Drosophila melanogaster: one gene and its partners. The gene in region 3 interacts genetically with the main gene of each other region. Each region holds a gene or a part of one and is shown on either strand. Other genes may lie near its edges. The genes, in order: CASK, Syx4 and Nrx-1.

The links.
Region 1: of Nrx-1 (region 3) and CASK, changing one enhances a phenotype caused by changing the other (phenotypic enhancement), as found in Drosophila melanogaster (one study listed by BioGRID).
Region 2: of Nrx-1 (region 3) and Syx4, changing one enhances a phenotype caused by changing the other (phenotypic enhancement), as found in Drosophila melanogaster (one study listed by BioGRID).

The regions. Positions count from the first base shown.
Region 1 is NT_033777.3:21,820,515-21,824,268, reverse strand, and holds the start of CASK (CASK), read left to right. Parts: upstream 1-1,594; 5' UTR 1,595-1,786; intron 1,787-3,245; 5' UTR 3,246-3,563; coding exon 3,564-3,622; intron 3,623-3,754.
Region 2 is NC_004354.4:2,742,466-2,746,219, reverse strand, and holds the start of Syx4 (syntaxin 4), read left to right. Parts: upstream 1-2,143; 5' UTR 2,144-2,736; coding exon 2,737-2,769; intron 2,770-3,261; exon of another isoform or gene 3,262-3,303; intron 3,304-3,422; coding exon 3,423-3,659; intron 3,660-3,754. UniProt on the Drosophila melanogaster protein: Potentially involved in docking of synaptic vesicles at presynaptic active zones.
Region 3 is NT_033777.3:22,467,711-22,471,464, forward strand, and holds the start of Nrx-1 (neurexin 1), read left to right. Parts: upstream 1-1,767; 5' UTR 1,768-2,774; coding exon 2,775-3,680; intron 3,681-3,754. Other genes in the region: CG5377 (uncharacterized protein), read right to left, coding at 1-272. UniProt on the Drosophila melanogaster protein: Neuronal cell adhesion protein involved in synapse formation, development of synaptic active zones, synaptic regulation and visual function. Plays a role in cell adhesion between the pre- and the postsynaptic cell.

The DNA of each region.
Region 1 (3,754 bases), 650 kb from region 3:
TTATACCCAAACTATTTGATTGATCTCACAAATTATGAAAGAAGTTGTATAAATTAAAAAAAAAATTAATTACTTTTTTATTATTTCTGAATATTTCATAGTGCGTATAATTTAATTGGCTGCTATTTTACAATCGAAAGGTGGACATTAGTGGGTGACCACTGTTGTTATTGCTGATCATTAACACTTGTTGTTTTTGCTGCTCATCTCGAAATGGTTGTTGGTGCTTATCCTTTTCGACTATATCCCCCGTAGTAATATGGCCATATTGAGTTCATTTTCATCAGGTCTTTCTTCATTTGGCTGATGGTTTTGTGTTTGTTGCTCCCTTATTGGCTTGTTGTTTCTCTTGCATCTTATCTGTGTGTTGTTGTCGTTGGGCGTTTGGCGGTGATTGTTGTTGTTGTTGCTGTTCGAGGTTTTGTAATTGATGATGTTTATGTTTGAGTATTGGCCCCCGTCACCAGCCCCTTCCAACTGATTTAAAGATTACGCACCTACGGTTTTTATTTTTTATTTTCGAGGAGTGCGTGTGGGTTTTCCTCGTCTTCGGTTGAGGGACTCCTGTGTGTGTGCCTGGCATATTAATGCCAAGATCTTAATTTATTCTAATGGGTTTATCAAATGCTGTGGGGTAATAATAATAATAATAGATAAAGTTGAATGGCGCGAAAGAGAAGTAATGTAAATAATATGGTAATATTCAATGAGCTGTGAACGAGCCTGGCGATAAAGTAAGTTGATAAAGGTTCTGTAGTGAAAATCCCTGTATTAACACACTGGTGGCTTAGTCCAGTTAAATAAATCGTGAATCATTTTTGAAGGGGAAAATGTTTACTTTCAAGTTGATGAATGGTAATTGGCATCGTATTGCCGATAAAACTGGAAAGTGTTCGAAATTCGTATGTGCAATATTCCACAATAGCTTTATGCACTTGCTTGCGTACCGCATAAATATTTACCTCCATTTGACTTCACTCAAGCGGAAACAATTCAGTGTGCAATGAATTATCTTACTTTCGAGTAAATTTATTAAGCATGCAGTGGGTATTTATCAAAGGAAAACAACTGCCTTTTGCTGATAAGTCAAGCAAATAAAAGCATATGCAAAATGCTACCGAAGAGAAAGGAGCAGGAAAATATAATTTACTTTTTCTTTAACAAAATTAAAGTTTTAATAGTATTTATTTTCAATTTCGATAAAACATCTGTGTCGTTATGAATGACTATATTCTTAACAATATTCCAAAATTATACTTTCTCGTCCCCAAAACTTTTTTTCAAAAACTTCCGCGCAAATTTTAACAGACCAAATAAAGTTAATAACAAAATGACAGAAAAGCTTAGATACCAACGGGTTTCTGGTATTTTTCCAGTATAACCAGTTGCTTGATTCAAACAAACTTTCTTGAATTAAAACTTTGATTAACGAAGTAAGTTGCTGCAGTACCACCCTTAAATTTATTTTAAAAACAATATTTTTAATGAACACAGGTTGGTATCAATTTTCAATGGGAGAGCCGTGAACCGACTCCAAGTTCCGAACCAATCCAGCAATGCACCTGCAGCCCTGGAATTCTAGTTCGCGGCGAACCGGTTCAGTTGCAACCAGTTCTTCGCCAATCAATTCCTCACGGGCCGTGTTTGTTTTAAGTTAAAATTAGTAAATTACCCAATGCAATCAGCTTGCCAGGCGATTCGTGCTGCGCACCTAGACAATCGAGTGCTAATGCGATTCGCTAAAATGCCAAAAACCAGCGGCCGTTGAAGAATCGCTGCCAAATCGGTGGGTTTTCGTACATAAAACTATATGCGAATTGTTCGTGCCAGTGTGTGTTCGTGTGTGTGTGTGTGTGTGTGGTGTGAGTGTGGCCCCCTCTATGTGTGGCCGATAAAGGGGGCGGTGTCGTTGATAAGGGGGCGTGGAACATGAGCAATGCAAATCCTTTAGACAAAGAATCAATTTGCCAATTGTGCGACACTCGAGAGTCTCAAAAAGTCCTAAAAGCAGGGCCAAATGCACACACATAGTCAGTGAGTGAGTGTATGTGGGTGTGGGTGGGTGCGTTAGTGAGGTGGGCGGTAAGGTCGTGTGGAAAGTGTCAAGGCATTTTACAACAGCGGCACACGAGCAAGGTAAAACCCTCGAGCCCGAATACTAAAACCGAGCCAAAAACACCGCGCCCCATGCGCAGCTCTGCATTAAACATGACTACCAGAAAGTCCTTCGCGGGGATTCCCCGCAAATGCTCCGTCCTGCTCTCGCAGTCGCAACTCAGTTCTCCACATTTCGTGTGTGCATCGTAAATTGTTGCACATTTAAATATTCATGCAGCCCGGGCAGAAAGCATAGCTTATATTTTTTACGATTACAATTTTGGTGCTTTACACGAATTTCCCACGGCGCCGGCGCACTTTACATCCATGCTCGCCATCTTTCTCGCACTCCTTCGCTCTCTTTCACACTCTCTCGCTCTCTGGCTTTCTCCTTTCGGATTTTTGGAGTGCCATCAAAGTTTTGAAAAGTATGTTCAAGTGCTGGACCAAAAGGCATAATAATAGTATGGCCAAGACAAAGGTAGCGCCTCCCATCCACCCTCCCCCCCTGCGAACTTTCCCCGCGAACATCCTTGGAACGAGACCCTCGAAAAGGACACATTCTGCAGGTCCTGCTGGCTTGTTTACCTTTTCAGCTGGCCATCATTTCCGTTGCAAAATTCACAACGCCCACTGTGCGGGGATACTTCCTTCCTACCATTGGCACTTTCGACAGCATTTTGTGCATTTGTGGTGTGTGCCGCCTGTAATTGATTGGGGTTTACACCTGATATGAGTGTGATTGACATATCAAACAAGTTTCGGCCAGGCCAGTCTCATTTCCGTTGCGACACCATTAACAGTGGTCCCTCGAAAAGTGTTCCCATCACACAAGTGTCAACACGCCAGCCCAACTTTATAGTGGCATTTTCAATTTGATTGATTCAGATAGCATTATAAACTTAACTTAGTTTGTAAGTAAGATTACAAAATATTTAGGAAATTATTAGCAAATTTTCTTGATTAAAATCTGTGTATAATTTTTCACAAATGTAAACAAATTTGTTTATATTTGCGTCATCTGCTTGACAGAATTCTCGCAAAGCTTCTTGACAGTTTCTTAATTAGACGCCAAATAAATCTGATTAGCGGCCTTCAACTAATGGAAAAACTCACCTTCACCATTTTCACTTGTTATATTTTTCCAGCGCAAAATGCATTCTTAACATCAGCAGCTACGAAAACAGCAACAGCATTAGCGGCAACAACGAATCAACGACACCAATAACAATACCATTAACAACAAATCATCAGAAGAAACCGAAGGAAAACGCTCAAAGTTTTGGAGTTGCTCACTGGCCGCTTAGTTTTTTGTTTATTTTTTATGTTCGTTTTTGGAGGGCAGTAGGCGACGACGGGCAAAGGAAGCGGGAGAAGGAAAAGCGACGGACACGAAAAACAGGACACAACTCATCAATATTCGAAAAAGCAATTGAGTCGAGGCATCAATTCATCAATTATTCAAAATGACCGAAGACGAAATTCTCTTTGACGACGTCTACGAGCTGTGCGAGGTCATTGGCAAGTAAGTTAGCGCCCCACCGGCTATATCTTTAGCCGATTCTGCTGCTGACAGCTGGCATCCATGGCCATTATCTCATTATGTATTATGTATCCGCCCCGTATGCCCATCCCACCCACCCAGAAGCCGTAAATC
Region 2 (3,754 bases), on a different chromosome or scaffold from region 3:
GCACCGCCAGCGCTTTCCATCAGTTTCCATTTCTCGTTTTGTGCGTGAGCCTCTGACCCAAATAAAAACAAACAAAAATAACAACAGAAGTGGTAACTAAGGTGGGGACAACGCACAAAAAGACTCATCAAAAACTCATAAATTTGCAATTTTCGACACATGACAAAATAAATTGTAAACAAAGGAAAGCGCGAAAGCCGAGAAAACTAACAAAAAACGGGCACAATAAACTTGACTGCCTATAACAATATCTCCGCTTTTCCGACCCCTTTGTTTATGGAAAAGCAATGGAAAAAGGTGAAAAGCGGGTGTTAAACGCAGGGAATATGAATATGTTGCTGTTTTGCCAACAATTTGCACTAAAAAAATAAGTGAATAGATAATAATAACCTGGAATACATTTTAGACTTACAGTCCGCAATGCAAATAAAGGCGGGAAAAACAAGAATTTCATCTTTTTGTATTCTCATTACCTAAACTCAATGAATCCCATGGATTGATAAAAATAAACTGCTTTGTATAGCCACTCCACCTAAATTGAGTTTTGCTTTGTTATGCAGTTTTTTTTTTTAACTTTACAGCACAAAAGTGACAATATCTTCATTGAGTCAGAGTTCTATACGATCGTTTGTAAATAAAAGCGGATTCACGACTTTCGAGCAATTGAATGCCTCTTAATAACGAGTTGGCAAGAAATCGTCGACTAATAAAATGATATTGGAACTCACAAAACCTTCCGAATGTATCTGATAAGCGATTGGCGGTTCGAATTCCACGACGGGGTCACAAAAAAAACATGACTTATATGACTCATTTTAAAAGCCAAACAAAAAAAAAATAAAGCAAAAATAAAGTAACAAGTTCAAGCTCAGAAACATCAGTTTATCTCAATCTCAATTAATTGGTATTTTGCAATAAAAAGTAAATGTTCATGTTTAAAGGGTGTATTAAAGGGTATTCGCGAATTCACATATTCCACATTGAATTTCCAAATCGATTTAAATGTTTTAACCTTATGGCGCTACATGCAGTTCAATTCAAAGTATCAGTATATCACGTATACGTATGCTTTTTATACAATCATTAGAGAGGGAAGAATTCGCGACACGATTCTTTTCTGCCGTCTTTTTAAATGGCATGGCAACTTGAGAAGAATTGCGAACCAAATGAGAAATGGAAATTCGCAACTGTCTGGTGTTGATGGTTTTATTTTTCTTGTTATTGTTGTTGACGTAGTTGAGGGCAGTTCATAAGCTTCGTTTTGCAACCGCAAGAATTGCTAATATAAAGCGGGTAGACCATCTAGCTACCCAGTAAGCAAAATAGCAATAAATTTATTATGGGAAACTTTCGAAGAAACAAGCAACTGAACTGTGCTTAAGAAGTATAATTTACACAAGCGTTTTGAAGGGATCAAGTTGTAAAAAGTGGTGAGTACAACGCTTGACAATGAATTTACACCCTTGACCTACATAGATGCGACCCGCTGATACCCTGTAAATGCATATGGTGGCACAGTACAAAGCCAGCAATAGAAAAAAGTTCAACTAATTAGCGCAAGTGACTTTTGAACGTTCTCGTCGCAGGTTTATTTCTCTTACTCGGTCTTTTATTTCAATTGAACGGCAACATGGAGCGTGAAAAGTGCGACAACAACAGCAAAAGGCGGCAGAGCAATGTAGAAATGTTTACCATACAACAGAGTAGAAATAATAATAAAAACAATTAACACATTTTTCTCCGCCGCCTAACCAGTTTTCATTTCGGTGGCAAAGACGATTTATTCATTTTATTCGGAGACAACAAAAAATGTAGATCGCCACTAACTACACATAATGTAGTACGAGTCTCTATCTTTATCTCTCTCCAGCTAAAGCACATGAACGTACATATCAAATACACCGAAGTTCATGAAATCGAATACCTTCGTATATTCAAATCACAATTCTATTGCTGCATTTAATGTACATTTTTGAATTTTTCATAACTAATTTGAATTTGGATTAGGCCCAATGAATTTATACCATAAAATGCCTATTATTTTGGCCCAGGCTGTAGCCAGAGTGTTTGCTGTCTTTAATCTTTTTGAATTGAAAGAAATCTCGACGCGACTGGGAGGCTCTGCGTTTTTGTGCCGGCGTCGATTTTTTAGTTCGAAAACGTATGCGGCGCGGTGAAGACAAAGGAATTGATTTTCAATAAATCGAATAAAATGTAGCCGAATGTATTTACATGTTAAATTTTAAAAATACATAAAGCTAGTTTTTCCCATAATCCAATTTTTTTCTTTTTTGTGTTTGTGTGTGTGTGCAACAAAAGAGCGAGTAAGAGAGCAAAGAGCCGCCAATAAATGGCAAATATGTGATAGGTGATAATCTGTGTTTAGGCCTTTCTGACTGTCCCTCTCTCTCTCTCTCTCTCTCTCCATGACTTTCCACCCCGCCCTGTCGCTTTCCGAAGGGCAGACGGTAAATATTAGGCGGCTCTTATCAGAAACTTGTGCGCTGATAAGCTTTGATAGCAGGTTTCGCTCTCTCCTGCGCTCTCAATCAAATTTTCCCATTCGCGAACAGCTGTTGGAGGCAACGGCAACAACAAACCAGGAACAAAGCTCAGAAGCTGCTGTAAAGGATATAAAGTGGACATTTTGGAGTACTGGAAAGGAATTCAAGGAATTGGCATAAATTTGGCATATAATTGGCATAATTCAAACCAAAGGCAGTCCAAGTTGCAGAAATGGGTAAAGATCGACTGCCCGAGCTTTTGCAGGTAAGAAAATATTAGAAACGTGGGTGGTTGGTTGGGAGGTTGGGATGAGGTAACTGCTAATTAGTTTGAAGCACAGTGGTTTGGCATCACTCAAACCGCAATACGAATAAAATCTACTTAACACGATGAAATACATTTGGTGGTATTTGCCAGGAAAAGGATTCCACTTTTCTCGGTAAAAAGTAATCCTAATCAAAGTTTTTTTTTTTTTTGCGGCACGTTGAAACACATTCTGACCAAGGTGCTGCCACCTTCTTTACAATTGGCCCAATCTCTCACATTTCTGTTGGCGCTTTTGGCACTATTTCGACTTGTGAGCCAAGGGGGTTTGGTGGGTGTTCGCTATGGCATTTATCAGATCGGCCAGAGATAACGACGATAATGTGGCCACACATCACACTTACGGGGCAACCCCGCGTTTCCGCCGACAAACTTTTAGCACCAAGTGAATTTCAGTACCGAAGTCATTTTTATAGTTCATTTACACCGCGCCAGATTGTGAACACACAAACGTAAATAAACTCAACCAAAGTTGTTAGTTTCAATTTAGTTTTTTCTCAGTTTTTCCCTGCAGTTCGTTAGGATCGCATGGACCTATTTTATTTTTATTTATTTATTTTTTTTTCTTCTCATTTTTGCTGTACTAATTCCAGCGCTCATTGAGCACGAACTCGTCGAACTCGTCGTCGAACGGTTCACTGCTTTTGAACGTGTACAGTGGAACCACGGAGTTCATCATTGGCAACACCGGCGGTAACAATAATAGCTACAGTGTCGTTAGCCAAAACTCTCACAGCTGCAGCAACAATAACAGCAGCACCGAACCCAAGGATCGGTCCAGTTCAAAGATGACGCAGTATGGCTCGAATGTGGATGACATACTCAATCCGGTGAGTTTAAGGATCGAAGTGTATACAAAACACAACTTCAGAATTCATACAAGTTTTTACTATTATTGAGTATTGAAATAGTTAATAGAAGAAAC
Region 3 (3,754 bases):
CGCTGCGGCGGCACTGATTTGCCATAACCCGGCGGATCCCAGGCGATGATGGTGTGACCCGGCAGCAGTTTCGGCAGCTGCTCGATCTGGGGCCTAAAGTCGGTCCACGAGGAACCCAGTGCTCCCGGCATCAGGAGTAGACTCCGCTCCCCACTGCCGCTCTCCACAATGTTCAAATCTGAGCCATTCACACGAACTTTCCGCTCCGTGTGCAGCAAGCGCCTGGTGATCGGGGAACGGGCACCCACAAGCCGGCACAGATTGCCCAGCATTACGTAAGCGGGATCTAACGGGGATTTTGGAGTATGGCAACAAACTTAGCTGCTTCTCAAGGGCTCTTCAGATGTCCAGAGAGGAATATTTGGCAAATTCTAATCTTTACACACGACGCCTTGTAAAGTGCACTTGATAAAGATCCGTTGATAACAGCTGATTGATAAGAACAGCTGTAAGTAAACGATCGAATTAGTGTGGCTGTAGGTGCGATGATGCCATATACCGTTAAATCAAAAGTAAATATACCAAAAAACTAATTTTAAAAGAATCGTTAATTTTTTAATAATTTGAAAAATATTTTCATATTGATATTTAGGCATTGGGTGATGCACTTGCATTTTTAAGAATGTTCCTGAAATTTAAAAGATTTTTCCATTCATTTTGAAGAATATTACTTGACAATGCCGAACTCTCCACAGATTTTAAAATAATGGTAGTTTAAAAGCCCTTGAAAGTTCAAGAGCTGCCGCTCAGTTTGATTTTAAGCTTTTCGCTCTTCCCCCAGCTTTTGGCATTCCCAATCTTAGTCCTTGTTAGTCCACTTGAACGTCACGACTCCGAAGGACAATGGACAGCACGTGCTGGCATTTGTTTAGCCTTTAGCGTGCGTTAAAATATTATTAAAAACCGTAAGTGCTTAATAGCAGGATCCTGGTCCCTGCTGTAATGGTCAGTGCGTGATTCGTGTGCTCAAATTAATGTGTTCGCCTGGACTGCGACGACGATTAATGGAGGCGACGGCCTTGCAATTGCTCTCCTAGGACGAAGGAGCAGGGTGATGGGATTTGACAGAGGCAGGACATACACCCACAATCGAGAGTAAGGGACATCACATTCCACTGCCAATGCAAATGCAAATCGAATTCGACTCCGAGATGTCGAAGTTGCGTAGTAAATGTCAAGGAATTTACACGGGTCGTCTCGGAGATAGTGAGCCCGGGGGGGTGTCAGCTTGAGTTGGTGTGTGTGAGTGTGCGTGCGGCCACAGGACACCCACGCACACAGCTGAACATGCATATGTGTGTATCCATGTGAATGTGGCATCTAATACGCTTTAGTGGTGCAGGTTATGAACCTGCGTGCTATTCGCTTATTACGCATGTGTGAGTGGGCAGCTGGTGTCTATGTGTGCGTTTGTGTGTTAGTAGTACACATATGCATGCCTCGTGCGAAGTAAGCGAGCTTTTAATTTTTGGCATTCCCACACACTACACTCAAAGCGTGCGGTGCTTTCCTTTTCCGTAGCACACTTTTTCGGGTAAATCAACAAAGTACCAATATAAACCATTAAATTCAAGATTTCCAGTAATTCTGAACGATTTTAACTTGTCTAAATGTAAAATCAGTAGTGTGAGGTACAAACTCCTTTGTCCAGTTCGATTGTAGTGCCATTTTCGAGTCGCCTAGACCGCACCAGTGGCTTTTTGTGAATAAGCTGGCGGAGCTTTCGTTATCCATTGGAAACAGTGCGAAGAAATTAAGTTTGAAATTGCAGTTCAGTCTTGTCGTGGATGCAGCGCGGATCGATATCGGAGCTAAAAGCAGCGGAAGGCGCTGCTAAGCAAATTTCGACACACAACATTTTTGTATCCCTCGAAATTGAACCGAAAAATCTGCAAAAATAAATTCAACCAACCAACAAAAACGAAAAGGACGCGTCGCGCTAAAATCCAGCCCGAAAAGTTACATAAAGCAGGAGCGACAAGAATATCGTGCAAATTCAAAGGAATAATTGTGTAATTGAAAAATCTGTGTGCAGTCTCTGCAACTAATTTCGTATCCAATCAATAGTTCAATCAATACGCATAAATAACTGATTGCTGTGGAATCAACCGCAGTAAAGCGCCCATTTTAGGGGCACTTGCTGTGAGGTGCTTAGAAAAATTTTCGCCTACATTTGCGATATGCAGTGAAAATTTTTTCCGATTTTTAGTATGTACATGTACGATGGAGCGCTCGTGGGCGCCACAAACTGCGGTGGCAGGGGTATCCGGCGAGCTTTTGGCCCAACCATAACCCCCAGTATTACTAATACAGCCGACTCGGTCGGAGAAACGGTTGTCTGACAAAGTATCGATGCAAAATATGCGCCGTTTTGAATTTAATTGCCAAAAATTATGCAAATCAAGTATACAAAATGCCGAAAACTGAAGGTGCTGAACATTAAGGACCAAAAAAATCAGGCGAAATCATAAGCAATAATCGGTGCAGTGCCGTTAACAGTCGACGTGTACCGTTAACATCCGCAGCCAACTTCGCGTGGCCGAGCTTTCGCTCTCGCGCGCTCTTACGCTCTCTCTTGGCAGGCGCGGATAAAACGGATTGCCGAGTAACACCAACACAAGGACACGCGAAAAGCTCGCGCTCAAGGACTGGAATACGCGACAGAAACACAGCGAGTGAGAGAGAGAGAGAGGGAGAAGGACACTTTACGTTTACGCGCGCAACGTGCGTAGGTGCCTCTGTGTGGGTAAGCCCGAGTGCCACCGTGCGTGTGAATGAAGGCGCCACATAGTGCAACATATCAGGATAACTATGCTGATGCGGCCATGACAGCCAGGACACGGCCAAGCATGGACATGGATCAGCAGCGAAATCGAAATCAGGCGGAGCTGAGGCTCCTGCCCGCCCAGCGCACCTCCACCTCCGCCTTTGAATCCCCCGACTTGCGGTTCAACAAGGCTCGCCGCCGGCGGAGAAGCGAGCAAGTGCCTCCCGTGGTCGTGGAATACCGTCGCTCCTACCGCGTGCTCATCGTCAGCGCCCTGCTGGTCAGTCTGGCGGCCAGTTTCGTGACGCTCAGCGCCGGATTCCAGCTAGATGGATCGCAAAACTCCTTCTACACCTTCCGCAAGTGGTACACCGGACTGAATGGGACCCTCGAACTGGAGTTCAAAACGGAACAGCCCAACGGATTGGTTCTCTACACCGACGACGGCGGCACCTACGACTTCTTCGAACTGAAGCTGGTGGAAGGAGCACTGCGGCTGAGATATAACCTTGGTGGCGGAGCTCAAATCATCACCGTGGGTCGGGAACTGCACGACGGCCACTGGCACAAGGTGCAGGTCCTGCGGAACGATGAGCAGACATCGCTCATCGTGGACGGCGTCTCCCAGCAGCGATCGACCAAGGGGAAGGAGTTCCAGTTCGGCAAGTTCGCGAGCAACTCGGACGTCTATGTGGGCGGTATGCCCAACTGGTACAGCAGCAAGCTGGCCCTGCTCGCCCTGCCATCCGTTATCTTCGAACCGCGTTTCCGTGGCGCCATCCGCAATCTGGTCTACGCGGACCAGCCGGGCGGCTCCACCAGGCGCCAGGAGATCAAGCAGCAGCGCGACATCAAGTGCGGCGATGTGCCCTGCGATCACGGAGAGCTGCCCGCCCGTGAAAGGCCGCTCAGGGTGAGTCCATTAGTCATTGATATACACAATACAACTTTTTATATTCTATTTAAATGATATTGATAATAAGAAAA